3 linked regions of the Oryzias latipes genome follow. The protein of the gene in region 1 purifies or fractionates together with the protein of each later gene. This does not show direct contact. Links are inferred from orthologs where the notes say so. Each region holds a gene or a part of one and is shown in the gene's direction. Other genes may lie near its edges.

What was found.
Region 2: the proteins of WD repeat-containing protein 20 (region 1) and usp12 purify together in Homo sapiens (affinity purification with mass spectrometry; 3 studies listed by BioGRID and IntAct, with this or other methods). This does not show direct contact. The link is inferred for Oryzias latipes from reciprocal best matches to the Homo sapiens genes DMWD and USP12.
Region 3: the proteins of WD repeat-containing protein 20 (region 1) and usp46 purify together in Homo sapiens (affinity purification with mass spectrometry; 5 studies listed by BioGRID and IntAct, counting the BioPlex papers as one, with this or other methods). This does not show direct contact. The link is inferred for Oryzias latipes from reciprocal best matches to the Homo sapiens genes DMWD and USP46.

The regions. Positions count from the first base shown.
Region 1 is NC_019871.2:4,868,036-4,872,418, forward strand, and holds the start of WD repeat-containing protein 20, read left to right. Parts: upstream 1-1,503; 5' UTR 1,504-1,837; coding exon 1,838-2,251; intron 2,252-4,383. UniProt on the Homo sapiens protein: Regulator of the deubiquitinating USP12/DMWD/WDR48 complex. Functions as a cofactor that promotes USP12 enzymatic activity.
Region 2 is NC_019878.2:17,502,358-17,506,671, forward strand, and holds the start of usp12 (ubiquitin carboxyl-terminal hydrolase 12), read left to right. Parts: upstream 1-1,408; 5' UTR 1,409-1,496; coding exon 1,497-1,544; intron 1,545-3,843; coding exon 3,844-3,924; intron 3,925-4,105; coding exon 4,106-4,314. UniProt on the Homo sapiens protein: Deubiquitinating enzyme that plays various roles in the regulation of the immune response and inflammation.
Region 3 is NC_019862.2:1,003,153-1,006,802, forward strand, and holds part of usp46 (ubiquitin carboxyl-terminal hydrolase 46), read left to right. Parts: intron 1-3,129; coding exon 3,130-3,368; intron 3,369-3,650. UniProt on the Homo sapiens protein: Deubiquitinating enzyme that plays a role in behavior, possibly by regulating GABA action. May act by mediating the deubiquitination of GAD1/GAD67.

The DNA.
Region 1 (4,383 bases):
GCCAATCACTCACTCAGTCCTGAAGGGTATTGGCAGGTCTGCAGGTGTGCGTTCTTTAGCACACCTGCAAGATGTTAAAGCATTACCAATGGTTTTCTTGGTGACTGTGGTTCCACCTACTTTGAGATCATCAACTGACTCCTCCTGTGTTGACGATCTGACGATCATGGAAACTCAAACAGCTGAGGTCTTATTTGGAGCCCCAGACCCACAGGTGGATTGATGCTCATGATCTTGTATTTTGGCCAAGCTTTACTAACCGTCATCTCCTTCACCTCCAGTTTTTTGCCGATGGTTTAGTAGTCCATCCTGGTCTTTTGCAGGTCTATAATCTTCTCCCATAAAAGATTCACGTCAATCATCTTGTGATCTGTAGTAAAAGCAATTTCCTTGGTCTTTTAATTATGATTGGGCTGTTTTAGGCAACATTTAAATTTAAGAAATCTGTGTTGTTTTGGAGGACATAGTTTCCGGTGAGCAGCAGGAGATCATTAGAAATTCGTGGGCGGGACCGTTTACATGAGTGAGCCCGCGCTTATTTCCCATCATTCCTTTGTTTACGCTCTCTCCTGCTAGTATTGAGCTCTATCTATCTATCTATCTATCTATCTATCTATCTATCTATCTATCTATCTATCTATCTATCTATCTATCTATCTATCTATCTATACATACATACATACATACATACATACATACATACATACATACATACATACATACATACATACATACATACATACATACATACATACATACATACATATCCTCCATCATGAGGAAAGCATGTTAAAAACCCAATTTTCATTGAAGTGGGTCATTAAACACGTTGAACGCTCTAGTTTTTCCCATGTTGGAGAGTTTGGAGTCTGGCTGATTGTGTGGAGAGGTGATGTAACCCTTGTGCTGTCCTGGGCACTTTAACATTGGGAGTGGGGTCATCTAGACCCACTAGACAGTGTGCTAAACCTTTTTTCTTCGATGATTTGTGATCTTCACTGGTGTCCATGGATTACATGAAATCCTCTCCACCTTTGTCATGCTAGGGATCACATGCCAATGTAAGGATCGGGTCATCTGGACCCCATAGGATAGCAGATTAGTTCAAACCGGTGTCTTCAAATTAGGTTGATCTGGAAAGTCTAATTGGTTTGTGTGTGACTTTCTGAATGGTTACTATAGCAGTTTACATACTTACTACCTACAATTAATCAAAACAAATGTGTTTAGATTATTTAAAGGTAATTTCTTGATTTCCTATCGTTTCAAATGAATCAATATTAGGATGACAGACTGTCCATTTCTTTTTAGGAGGGCAAACCTAAAAAAAACAGCATTTGATAAACAAAAATGCATTTCTTCCAGTGTGGACATTTCATCCTAAAGGATTCCATCTAGGAAGTGTTTTTTTTTGTTTGTTTTTTGTTTTTTTAATCTGGAATGTGTCTTTAAGGCTCTCTGCTCCTGCTGGGTGTCGCTGTTTTTTAAGGGGTAAATCGACCTGACCAAGGCCGGATGTCCTCTCTGTACCCCCCTCCCCGGACCACCGTGGGGGTGTGCAGTGTCGGCCCACCAGGAGACGCAGCATCACGCCTCCGTACCGCCGGATGATCGGAGGCAGAGCCCCGGCGGAGGAAGGCAGATGTTGTCCGCGGCTCCGAGAGGCTGCCTCTGCGGGTTCCTCCTCCAGGCGGCGACCGTAAGATGCGCCGGGGCGGGCCGGGGGTCCTGGTCGGCCTAGCAGAGCTCGGCGGCGGCTGTTGTTCCGTACTTTGAATCGCTATTATTTCCAGGTCACGACGATCGCTGTTTCCTTCGCGGCTCGTTTGCTCTGAAAATGGCCGGAGATGGCGGCGCTCTGAAGGATATCAATGAGATTAAATCGCAGTTCCGGACCAGGGAGGGCTTCTACAAGCTGCTCACCCTCTCCGATTCGCAGCAGCGGGGCGGGCTGCCGCGGGGGCCGTCCGCCGGAGCCACGCTGGGCCCCGGAGCGGGCACCGCTCAGATCCCCGGCGGAGGGGTCGCCGTTTTGCAGGGGCCCGGGGCTGCAGCCGTCGCCGCAGCGGCGGCGGTCGCGGCGTCCGCCTCCTCCAATGCCGCCTCCAACAACTCCCCGACCGGCTTCCTGCCGCCGGTCCGGGTCTCTATGGTGAAGCTGCAGCCCGAAGACCCGGGCGAGGAGTCGGAGCGGGTGTGCTTCAACATCGGCAGGGAGTTGTATTTCTACACCTACACCAACATCAAGAAGGTAAGCTGCCGCCGCGGACACCGGGCTTAGCATAGCCTGCTATCCCGCTAACGCGGCACCTCCGCCGGCCTCAGCTCCGTCATGCTTGCCGCCCCGCTGGAGGTGCTGGCGGTGGAGGATAAGGAGGTGATGCTGGAGGAGGTTCATGATGTAGCCGCATGTTAACGCGGCTCTGCCGGCTCCAGGTCTGAACACTGCAAGGTGAATTATTTATCACTTTATTGACGCGCTGAGATAACCTTAGCGGTGCCCTCTGCAGCAAAGACCTTCCTGTGTGTTCAGTGCAGCGGGGGGGAAAGAAATCACATTTTTGGCATTTTTTGTTTTCAGGAAAAGGCCCAAATGTTCTCAGATATTTTCCAGCTAAGGTGTCGTATTTCACTTCCAAATAATCTCAAATAATCCTAAATTTTGGGCCAAAATAAGATTTTGAATTGATTTTTACCTTCATCAGTTTAACCTGAAATAATCCCATCATGTTTTAAGTTTATTGTGAAGGAATTTTACCAGGGGCAGAGCTACCAGAGGGCCAAGGGGGGCTGCTGCCCCCACCCAGCAAAAAGCTTTGCCTAGTGCTGACTGTCATGCAATTAATTTATTGCACAATTATTATTTTGAGTTGCAATTATTCTTAACCTAATAATTGCTCATTTTGAGATACTTTCCTTTAAATTCATGAGGTCAAAGTAAAGGTCAAATTACAACAAAAACTGACTTCATGAAGATTTCCTGATATAACAGACTTACAACTTTTACTTTTACATTTTTTCATTTGTGATTCTCTGCCACAGAATTTGGCCAGCAATTGTTTAAATCTGCTTCAATTGAATTAAGTTCTGTTTTAACCATTGCTGCATTTCATTCATTTTCTTTCGGCTCATGCTGTATTCATAGTTTGCAGCAGATGTTTTGTGCTTTCTTCCTTCTAAATGAACTGTTCTTGTTTTGTCGCTGTGGTTTACTGCAACATTCAACCTGTTAGCTGAAGATCCCCAGAGCAAACCGTTTGCAAAGAGGGTCTGATTTCATGAAAATATGTGAGGGGTCAGCATTTTTTAAATGCAAATAAATTATATAATGTTTTATTGCAATGGCATACTTTTTTATTTATAAAACAGAAATGCACCTAAATACATTTTTACCTAAATTACTGTGAATTTCATAAATGAAGACCAGAAATAAATAAGTTTGTCTGGTAAAAAAAAATCCTTTCGTAAACACAAAATCTTGGTTCCTGTGAAATATTACACATTATTCACCTCTAAATGCTCAAGGTTGACTTTTATATTTAAACCATGTGTACAGAAAACTAACACAAAAAGTTACCTTTTTCCTGAATTACTGTGGTTTTGATCACAGATATAAATACATTTGTTTTTTTTGTTTGGCCCTAAAGGCTCTGAAGGTTAAGTCGCCACAGGATGTTGTCAACGTAATTTATCCAATTGCAATCCAAAAATCATTGACAGTGATGTAGACATAACATTATTGATTTTTATGAGTCTGTGGGCCGGGATTTGGACATGCCTTTTCAGAGTCTAAAGCAGTGTTTTTCAACCAGTGTGCCGCGGCACACTAGTGTGCCGTGGGAGATGGTCAAGTGTGCCGTGGAGAAATTACCCTCATTAATCATTCACTGATCTAAAAACATTTTCCATCTCCAGGAAATCAGCTCTTTGTTCATCCAAACAGGCCCTGATAAAACACTGAGTAGTGAGGAATATAAAAGATCTTAAAATTACTTTTTCTTTGTGTTTATTTGATTCTATTAAAGACATTTTGATAAGAATGACGGTATTTACCTGCAGCTATAGCGGTTTGCGGAAAAGTCCCGCCCCTTTACCTGTCTCCGCCAATCATTGTTGAAGGCTTAATCACATGTCAGCAGTCTGACCAATCAGAAGTGGTTAAAGTCTTCACTTCCTTGTTCTTAATTCTGCTGATAAAGTCTCTAAGTTTCCAACAAAAATACCAGCTAAAGCTCGTCTTTAGCGGTGTAGCTTTCCACAGAGTCCGGTGTCAGACCGTGAACAAAACAATGAAGCTCACAGACGCGAGTCTTTCTGCCCTTTTTCGGCAGTTTTCACACTACATCTCCCATGATGCATTGGCTTAAAGGGCCAGTGTCCGAG
Region 2 (4,314 bases), on another chromosome or scaffold:
GTCTGCCTTAACTGATACAAACTCCCTCCTTATGTCCAACCTGTCATGCAGGTCCTTATTTGCCCTTTGTTTAATCTTTGCCCTCTCCACCTTCACCATGTGATGCATCTCACTGTACTGCCGTCTGCTCTCTTTTGTCCTCTAAGCATTTTACTTTTTCTTTGAAAACCTTTTCCTCTTAACACATTCCTGAACTTCTTCCTTCCACCACCAAGTCTCCTTATCTCTTTTCCTCATTCCATACAACACAAATACCTTCCTCTCAATCTCCCAGATCACTTTAGCTGTCACCTGTTACCCAATGTTACACTCCTATCAGACTCTTTTCTCCCCTTGAATATTTTTGATGAACTCCCCCTTCAGGATCACTCCTACTACATTCCTCTTTCCAACCACATTGTGATAAAACAGCTGGAACCTGCTCCTAATTTATTACCCTTTCTCGTTTCCATCTATTCTCTTGAATATGCAGGATATCCACCTTTCTTTTTTCCAACATGTCATTCAACTGTGTAGTTGTCACTGTCAAAATCCCTACATTCAAAGTTCCACACTCCAAGTCCAACACATCTCTTTCTTTTGGTTTTGTTGCCAACTAACATGGCTTCTTCCTTGTACAGAAGTCTAATCTCCACTGGCACCAGTAGCATTGGTGGCGGTCAGTGTTAACCCAGACCAAAAATTATCTGGAGTCAAAGTTTGGTTCATGATTTGTTCGATTTAGTTTACATCGAATGCCACTCTTGACACAACCTTCTGAATTTACCCGCACTTGGGACAGTGACACAAAAGACCTGAATTGTGCCCTCTTGTGGTGACAGTAATTTTCTAATGACTAACAATATTCACTTATTTTTGGCACTTGATTTGGACATATTATACTGATTTCTGTAATAATGGCATGTCTACTTACGTAATTAATATGTATTTCGTCTTTGTCATTTGATTCTTTAATAATTTTTGATTTTTTTCAATGACCTGCACTTCAACAGGGATCAGAAATTAAGAACAGTATGAAGATAATTTAGGTAAAGAAAAAAAAGCTAGGTAAAATATAACTGGAGGGGAATTATATAGGATCACATCTAGGCAATTAATTTAAATAATTTGACAAATTCAATATTGTATAGTTTCAATGTGTCATGTTCTGTACGTACAAGCTAATGGTGGTATTTGTGATTAAGAGTAATTAGATTTACCAATCTAATTTCTTCAACTCGTATAACTGCCATTATAAAATAAATATACGATATTATGTTGTTCACATAATCAATTTAAATATTTTCTGATAAATCTATTAATCATTCACACAGATGGCAGTTTCGGAAAGTACATTGAGTTAATCAAAGAGGGCTGACTGCAGAAGCGAAACCGGAAGTAGTGTGCGGTGAGTGCTCTCGCGTCCAGCTCCGTCCTCCGCGAGCTCAGCAGTATTTCGTCCTCTCTAAGCAGTCTTGTCAGCGCGCGGCGGTGTTGTGGAAGATGGCGCTAGCCGAATGGAAATCCTAATGACAGTTTCCAAATTTGCCTCTTTTTGTACCATGGTAAGTGGACGGCAGTTTTACATAGTGATTATTAGGACTTTTTGCCTATGTAGAAACTGACAGTACTATGTTATTTGAGATTTAAATCTCGGAATTTTAAATGAAAACAGTGAAAATCGGATTCCCGTGCTAGCCGAGGAGGTTTCTGATGCTAACCGAGCAGCCACCCTCCTCCTTCTGAGCCTCTTCGCTTTTGCCGCAAATCCTTGAATGTTTATATTTGTTATTTATTTACTTAAAGTTAATGCTCCATTATTATTATTTTCATATTTACACGCCCTATTTGGTTGTAGTGACTGTGCACCTGCTGTAGGGGTTCAAAGCTAGCTTGCTAATGTGAAGCTAAAGCAATGTTTAGCTTCCCAGCAACTGGATTGAGGAAAACTTCCGATAAAAACACGTCCGGACTGTGTTTTGAGGGAAGCGTTGAACATTGTAGTGATGCTGCAGCGTCAACTACTATCAAATAACAGTTTTAGTGTTGGCAATGACGACACAGATTATTAGCTGCGCAGTTGTTCTTCAGACAGTTTGCTCGACAGTGGTGATACTAGGATTACATCTCTAGAAGTGCTTTTTCCCTCAGAAGTTGACAGCATCCTCCTCGAAAATAACCGTTATACTAACTGAAAGCTTGTTTATTATATATATAATGGTGCCACGTTTTGTTGCAAAAAGTACTAAAAATAAATAGAATTCAGGAATGGAGGCTGTTTATACAAACACCTGTGAAATGATGGGCTGCACTCTGGAGCTCAGTGAATTCCAGGGTGGGATTGTATTAGGATCCCACCTACAACAAGTCAGTGATTTCATACCATAGTTGGAGGGACATCAGCTTAACCACAAAGTGTCCGTCAGTTTATGTGGGCTTCGAGTGAGCAGATCATGAGACACATGACATGGAAATTTCTGCACTTAAGATCTGATTCATTGGTATAAAAGCATAACATCACCAGACCGTAAAGCAGTTGAGATGTGTTCTTTGGAGTAAGAAATTCAGGTTTTCCATGTAGCAATCACATGGATGTGTTTGGGTTTGATGTTGGTCTGACTGCACTGTGCTAAATGTGAAGTTTGTTGAAGGAAGGATTATGTTTGTTTTTCTGAAACTGGGCTTGGATCCTTTGTTGTAGTGAAAGAAACTATGAATACATTTCGATACTGTCAACTGTCTTTGGGGGGATAGGTTTAGGATGTTTTTGTTGCTGTTTCAATATGACTGTGTACCAGTACACAAAGGAAGATCCACAAAGACCCTCGTCTTTGGTGTGGAAGAACTAGTCTGCACAGAGGCCTCTCCTTAACCATCCTTTGGGATGAACCAAAGTGAAGACTCTAAGACGGACTTTTTCATCCAACATCGTTATCAGACCTCACCATTTTACCTACTGAGAAGAATGGAAGTTGTTATCGATGAAAATGATGGACTGACTTATGGATTATGAATAAGTACTTGTGGAAATCCAACATTCATCCCTCCCTCCACCCCTTCCTGCCTTCCTTCCCTCTCTCCCTCACTCTTCCACTCATCTGGGACCATATTATGCAGGAATGTTTTAATAGTCTAAAAAAATGAAAGAAAACAAATCTATTAAGTAAAAACAATTTAGCTTTGATGAAATTGTAATTGTTACTCTGTGGACCGCTACCTACATTTTGTTTTGGATAACATAAAAATTATCTTCTTATTCAGTCTCTCTCTCTATTTATTTATTTTTTAACAAGTTGTTGTGCAGACTGAGTATTTGAGTTTAAAAATAGTTCAGATGCATTTGATTGGTGCACATAGATTTGGAAGCAACTTGGCACCAATTCCTTTAAATAAAAGGATTCCTAATAGTTTTTTCCAAGTTGACATGGGCTTTAGAGGTAACAACCCCCCTAGAAAAAACCTAATCTCAGTTTATCGCTTATTAAATGTTAACAAGTTATGGTGACTAGTTTTTAAGTTTCACTTAAATAGCTTCAAAATAATGTTCAAAATCTATTTACTTTCAATGCTCGGTCTGATACATTCACCCAAACAGGGTCGAAAATCAGTTTTAATTAAATAACTCTTTGTAACAAGATTAGATGCTGGCTCATGAGCTGAAAAACATATATGATGATGGTGATTGTATTCTTGAAATGACAAAAATATTTTTAAAATCTGTCCTTTTGAGCCTCAAAACTTTAACCTTTTGACCAAAATGTGACCTTTAAAATCATGGTTGCATGTAAAAGTGTTACTAATGTGTTTGTGTTATTTTAACAAAGGTAAGGTGACTCTTGGTGCTTGTATGTTGTGGTGTTTTAGGGCGCCAATGCCTCTGCTCTGGAGAAAGAGATTGGATCTGAGCAGTTTCCGGTCAACGAGCACTACTTTGGTCTGGTCAATGTAAGTGACTGATTTGAAGTGCAAAACTTTATTTATTTAAAACTGTTTCACCTAATTTAAATGATACTCTTAAGCAGCTCTCAGCAGCTTTTTTATTAGCACATTTTTTTGTTTTTAATTCATGAGATTTTTGACAGTTATTATTTTTGGGTTATTGTACATTATTTATTTGTGTTTTTAGTTTGGGAACACCTGCTACTGCAACTCGGTGCTGCAGGCCCTTTACTTCTGCCGGCCGTTCCGGGAGAAGATCCTGGCTTACCGCAGTCAGCCTCGACGGAAGGAGAACCTGCTCACTTGCCTCGCTGACCTGTTCCACAGTATTGCCAACCAGAAGAGGAAAGTGGGTGTCATACCACCCAAGAAGTTCATCACACGGCTACGCAAGGA
Region 3 (3,650 bases), on another chromosome or scaffold:
AAATTTGCAGCTGCGTTAGCTTAGGTTGCCGCCTTTTTGCTCGCACCCCTTTCTCGTGATATTTTTGTGACGTGACGTTGGAGCAAAAACAAAAACATACTTTGGACACCAGGTGATCAGCGCAGCGTTGCGGCCACCTGGGTGATGTCAAACACACTTATTGTGCATCTTGGCTGCACGTATGATGTGTTGCCAACATGAATTTCCACCAGTTTTTGAGTCTTTCTTTGATCTCAGGTATCTGTAACGCTTGTTCTGATCTCCAATGAATGGCGCCCGTTCTTTAACTAACCAGAGTTTGAATTCAACTATGAATATAGGAGTGGCTGACTGGCTACTCCTAAATAACCTGTGACCAGGGTTTGAATGTGCGAAAAGTCATAAGAAAGAAAATCAACAGATTGTTACTGAATTTTGTTTCTCTTACTGATTTGTTTTAAGCAAACCTAAAAAAACGTTCATCATAGATTTAAAATAAGGAGCACATACTTGTGTGAAAAGTTCTTCTCTACCTTGAACTTCAAGAAGTCCAAGTACAGGTCCAGAACTTTCTGACAGGCATCTTCAAGCCATACTGAGGCTCTCAGCTGCTTCCTCTCAGCTGGAGCAGAGGAAGCAGCCAAGTGTCCAGCAGGAAGAAGTAGGCAAGTGCTCAGAAGAACCCATTGATTGAGGTTGAAGAACTGTAAAATGTAAGTTTTCTTTTGTGTTTAGTAGTTATAATTTCACAGTGCTAACTGAACTGTTAATAAGGACATTTACACTTTTTTTAACTCTTTATTTTTGTTTTCTCATCACAACATGAAACAAACATAACAATTCCCTGAAACAAGTTTGACCATAAGTCCACATTCAATATAGTGTAAAGCAGGTAAAACAAAGAAATTTAAAAAAAAATGCATTAACGCTAGATGCGACAAGCAGTTCAGTTAAACATATATTCATACAACCACAGTCAAAGGTACAAGGAACAGTCACAACCCCAAATAAAATTTAAATGATGTTACATTTTTCCAATTTCCCTTTGTGTTTTTTTTTGCGACCAGAAGTAAAATTTGCATTATATATATTTGATCAGCATCAAAGTCTTTTGGAAATACACCAAGCAAATACAACAGAGTACTTAAAGGAATGTCATGTTTTACAATACTTTCAACCTCCCTCTTAATATCTTTCCAAAATTCGCAGATAACTTGGCAATCAAAGAAAATATGTGTATGATCCCCAATTTTTCCACATTGCCTCCAACATAAGGCCGTGGATGAGCCTTTGGCAAAATTAGAAATCAACAGGGGTGTGTGAAAAAAAACCTTTTTGATTTTCCAGTCAAACTCTTTCCATAGTTGGCTATTAATTCCTATATGGCTGTTGTCACGCTCCTGTCCGGAGTGAGACCGACAGGTCCAAGGCAAGACCAATAAAAGCCACTCCACAAGGTTTTTGTGAATGCTGAAAATGGCTGTTATTTTTATTTTACAGTAGGTAACCAGCAGCAATGTCCATACATGCTCTGAAACCCAAACTCCTCTCTCTCATGAACCAAAATTCACACTTTTATAAGACATGGCCCCTCCCCTGGGCCAGGTGGTTTCAGTTGAGGTTAATTGCTGATTTTTGGTCAGGCCCTACAAAAGCCTACCAAACCCAGAGATCGGGTCCTTTGACCCAGGAAGTGAAACTGAAAAAGGTAAGACACAAGTCAGCAAGACATACAAAAATACATAAACATAATACACCCAAAATAATAAAGGAATAAAAGGAGTTAACAGTGTGTATATCAGTGTGTGTTGCTATCAGGAACTTTCTAAGATGTTTTAAATGGTTGAATGTGTTCACCCACCCAACCAGCATTAGCTTAGTCCCTGAGTATACGATGTGTCTGTATGTTTGAGTTCCTTTGTGGAGTTTCAGTCAGGGGAAACTGCCACAGCTGTCCTCACACAATTTAGGACATTTAAGTTTGAAAACAAGATATAGAAAACTGAATAAACAGAAATGTATTACTGATTTATTTATTGATTGTTTTTTTTCATTTAGGTGTTTGAGTTTATTTGATCGAGAGTTTTAGAAGTACATTTTGTACAGAAAGCAGTTTATAATAGTATAGTATAGTATAGTTAATAATATCGCACATGTTCCATACAAATTTACTACCAAAGAAGGGATGTACCTGAGAAAGTCACACAACTTGTTTCCACCAGGGTCCTTGTTCATCTTATTTGTGTTCATAAAATAGAATAAGAAATCGGAGAAGATTGGAATTTTTTAAATTTCTGATTCAAACTGGCATTGGCTCTCAGACAGCGCTGAAGTTGCGGCCCAGCCTCAGCTAGACCCGGCCCTCTGTGGCCCCAAGGTAAATTGACTTTAAGGCCCCTGCAGTAAAGGTTTTTACAAAGATGCTAAAGACCCACCTTTTTAGTTTTGCTTTTAGTCTAGCTCATATGCTTATTTTTTCTATTAGTTTTAGTATATATTATGTTATGTGTTTAATTTTATTTAATGCATTTAATCATTTAACCCTCCTCCCATCCCCCCGTTGTTTTCTCATGCCAGAGTGAGCAGGTAGAAATGGAGACACCAGGTGTTCATTTCACCTGCGCTTCAGGAAACCAGTCCAAATCCAGGAGGTTCATAGTTGCTGTTTTCTTGAAAGTAATCTAAATGGAGTACTTTAATGCATCTGTAAAGCTACGTTCACATCGTTTACACCTTGGCAATGCAACCACTGTGCTAATGTGCGTAAATGCGCATTTCGGGCTTCTGTGTTCATAACTCTTGCGTTTGGGTGTAGCCATGCAAGTTTCTGCGCCCGTTTTCAGGCTTTACGCGTAAAATGCACCTGCGTTGAACACATGTTGCTATAGACGTGAACTTGGGCAGCAGAGCTGGTCCATTTTATGCAGAGATAAGGGGGACTGGATGAGAATCTTTTATTATGAAACTAGAATCAGCTTTTGGTTATTATCCTGTAGGGTTGAGCTAGCGGTTATAAACATTTCTGCTCCATGTGGACAGTGCTGCACAGACTGCTTTAAGGTCTCTACATCATCAGAATGTCCTTTTTCTCTCAGATGTTTCTAAATGGACAGCTCATGACACGTCTTCCTGTCTTTTGTCTCCGTCCAGATCTTTTTGACAATTACATGCAGCAGGATGCCCACGAGTTTCTCAATTACCTGCTGAACACGGTGGCTGACATCCTGCAGGAGGAGAAGAAGCAGGAGAAGCAGAACGGCCGTCTGAAGAACAACGGCACCCCCGTCACGTCAGAGCCAGAGATGGAGAACAAGATCGAGCCCACGTGGGTTCACGACATCTTCCAGGGCACACTGACCAATGAGACGCGCTGCCTCAACTGTGAAACGGTAGAGAACTCTCCTCAGTTGAGATTGGCAGGCAGGCCTTCCTTACAGACCCACTCAGATGAAAATAGTCTTTTTGGTGTTTTTACATGTTCTCTTAGCAGTCTCTTAATGTTAAAATGTAGGTCTAAGTATTTCTTTAATTAAATTGTTGTGAATCAGGAGCAGACAAAAACTGCAGTTGGACAAAAGCTTGTAGCGGTGACGTAGAAACTACAATCGGAGTCCCGCCAGCTTCCTGCTCTGCTTCATTCTGATCATCCACTGTCAGACCAACAGATCCAT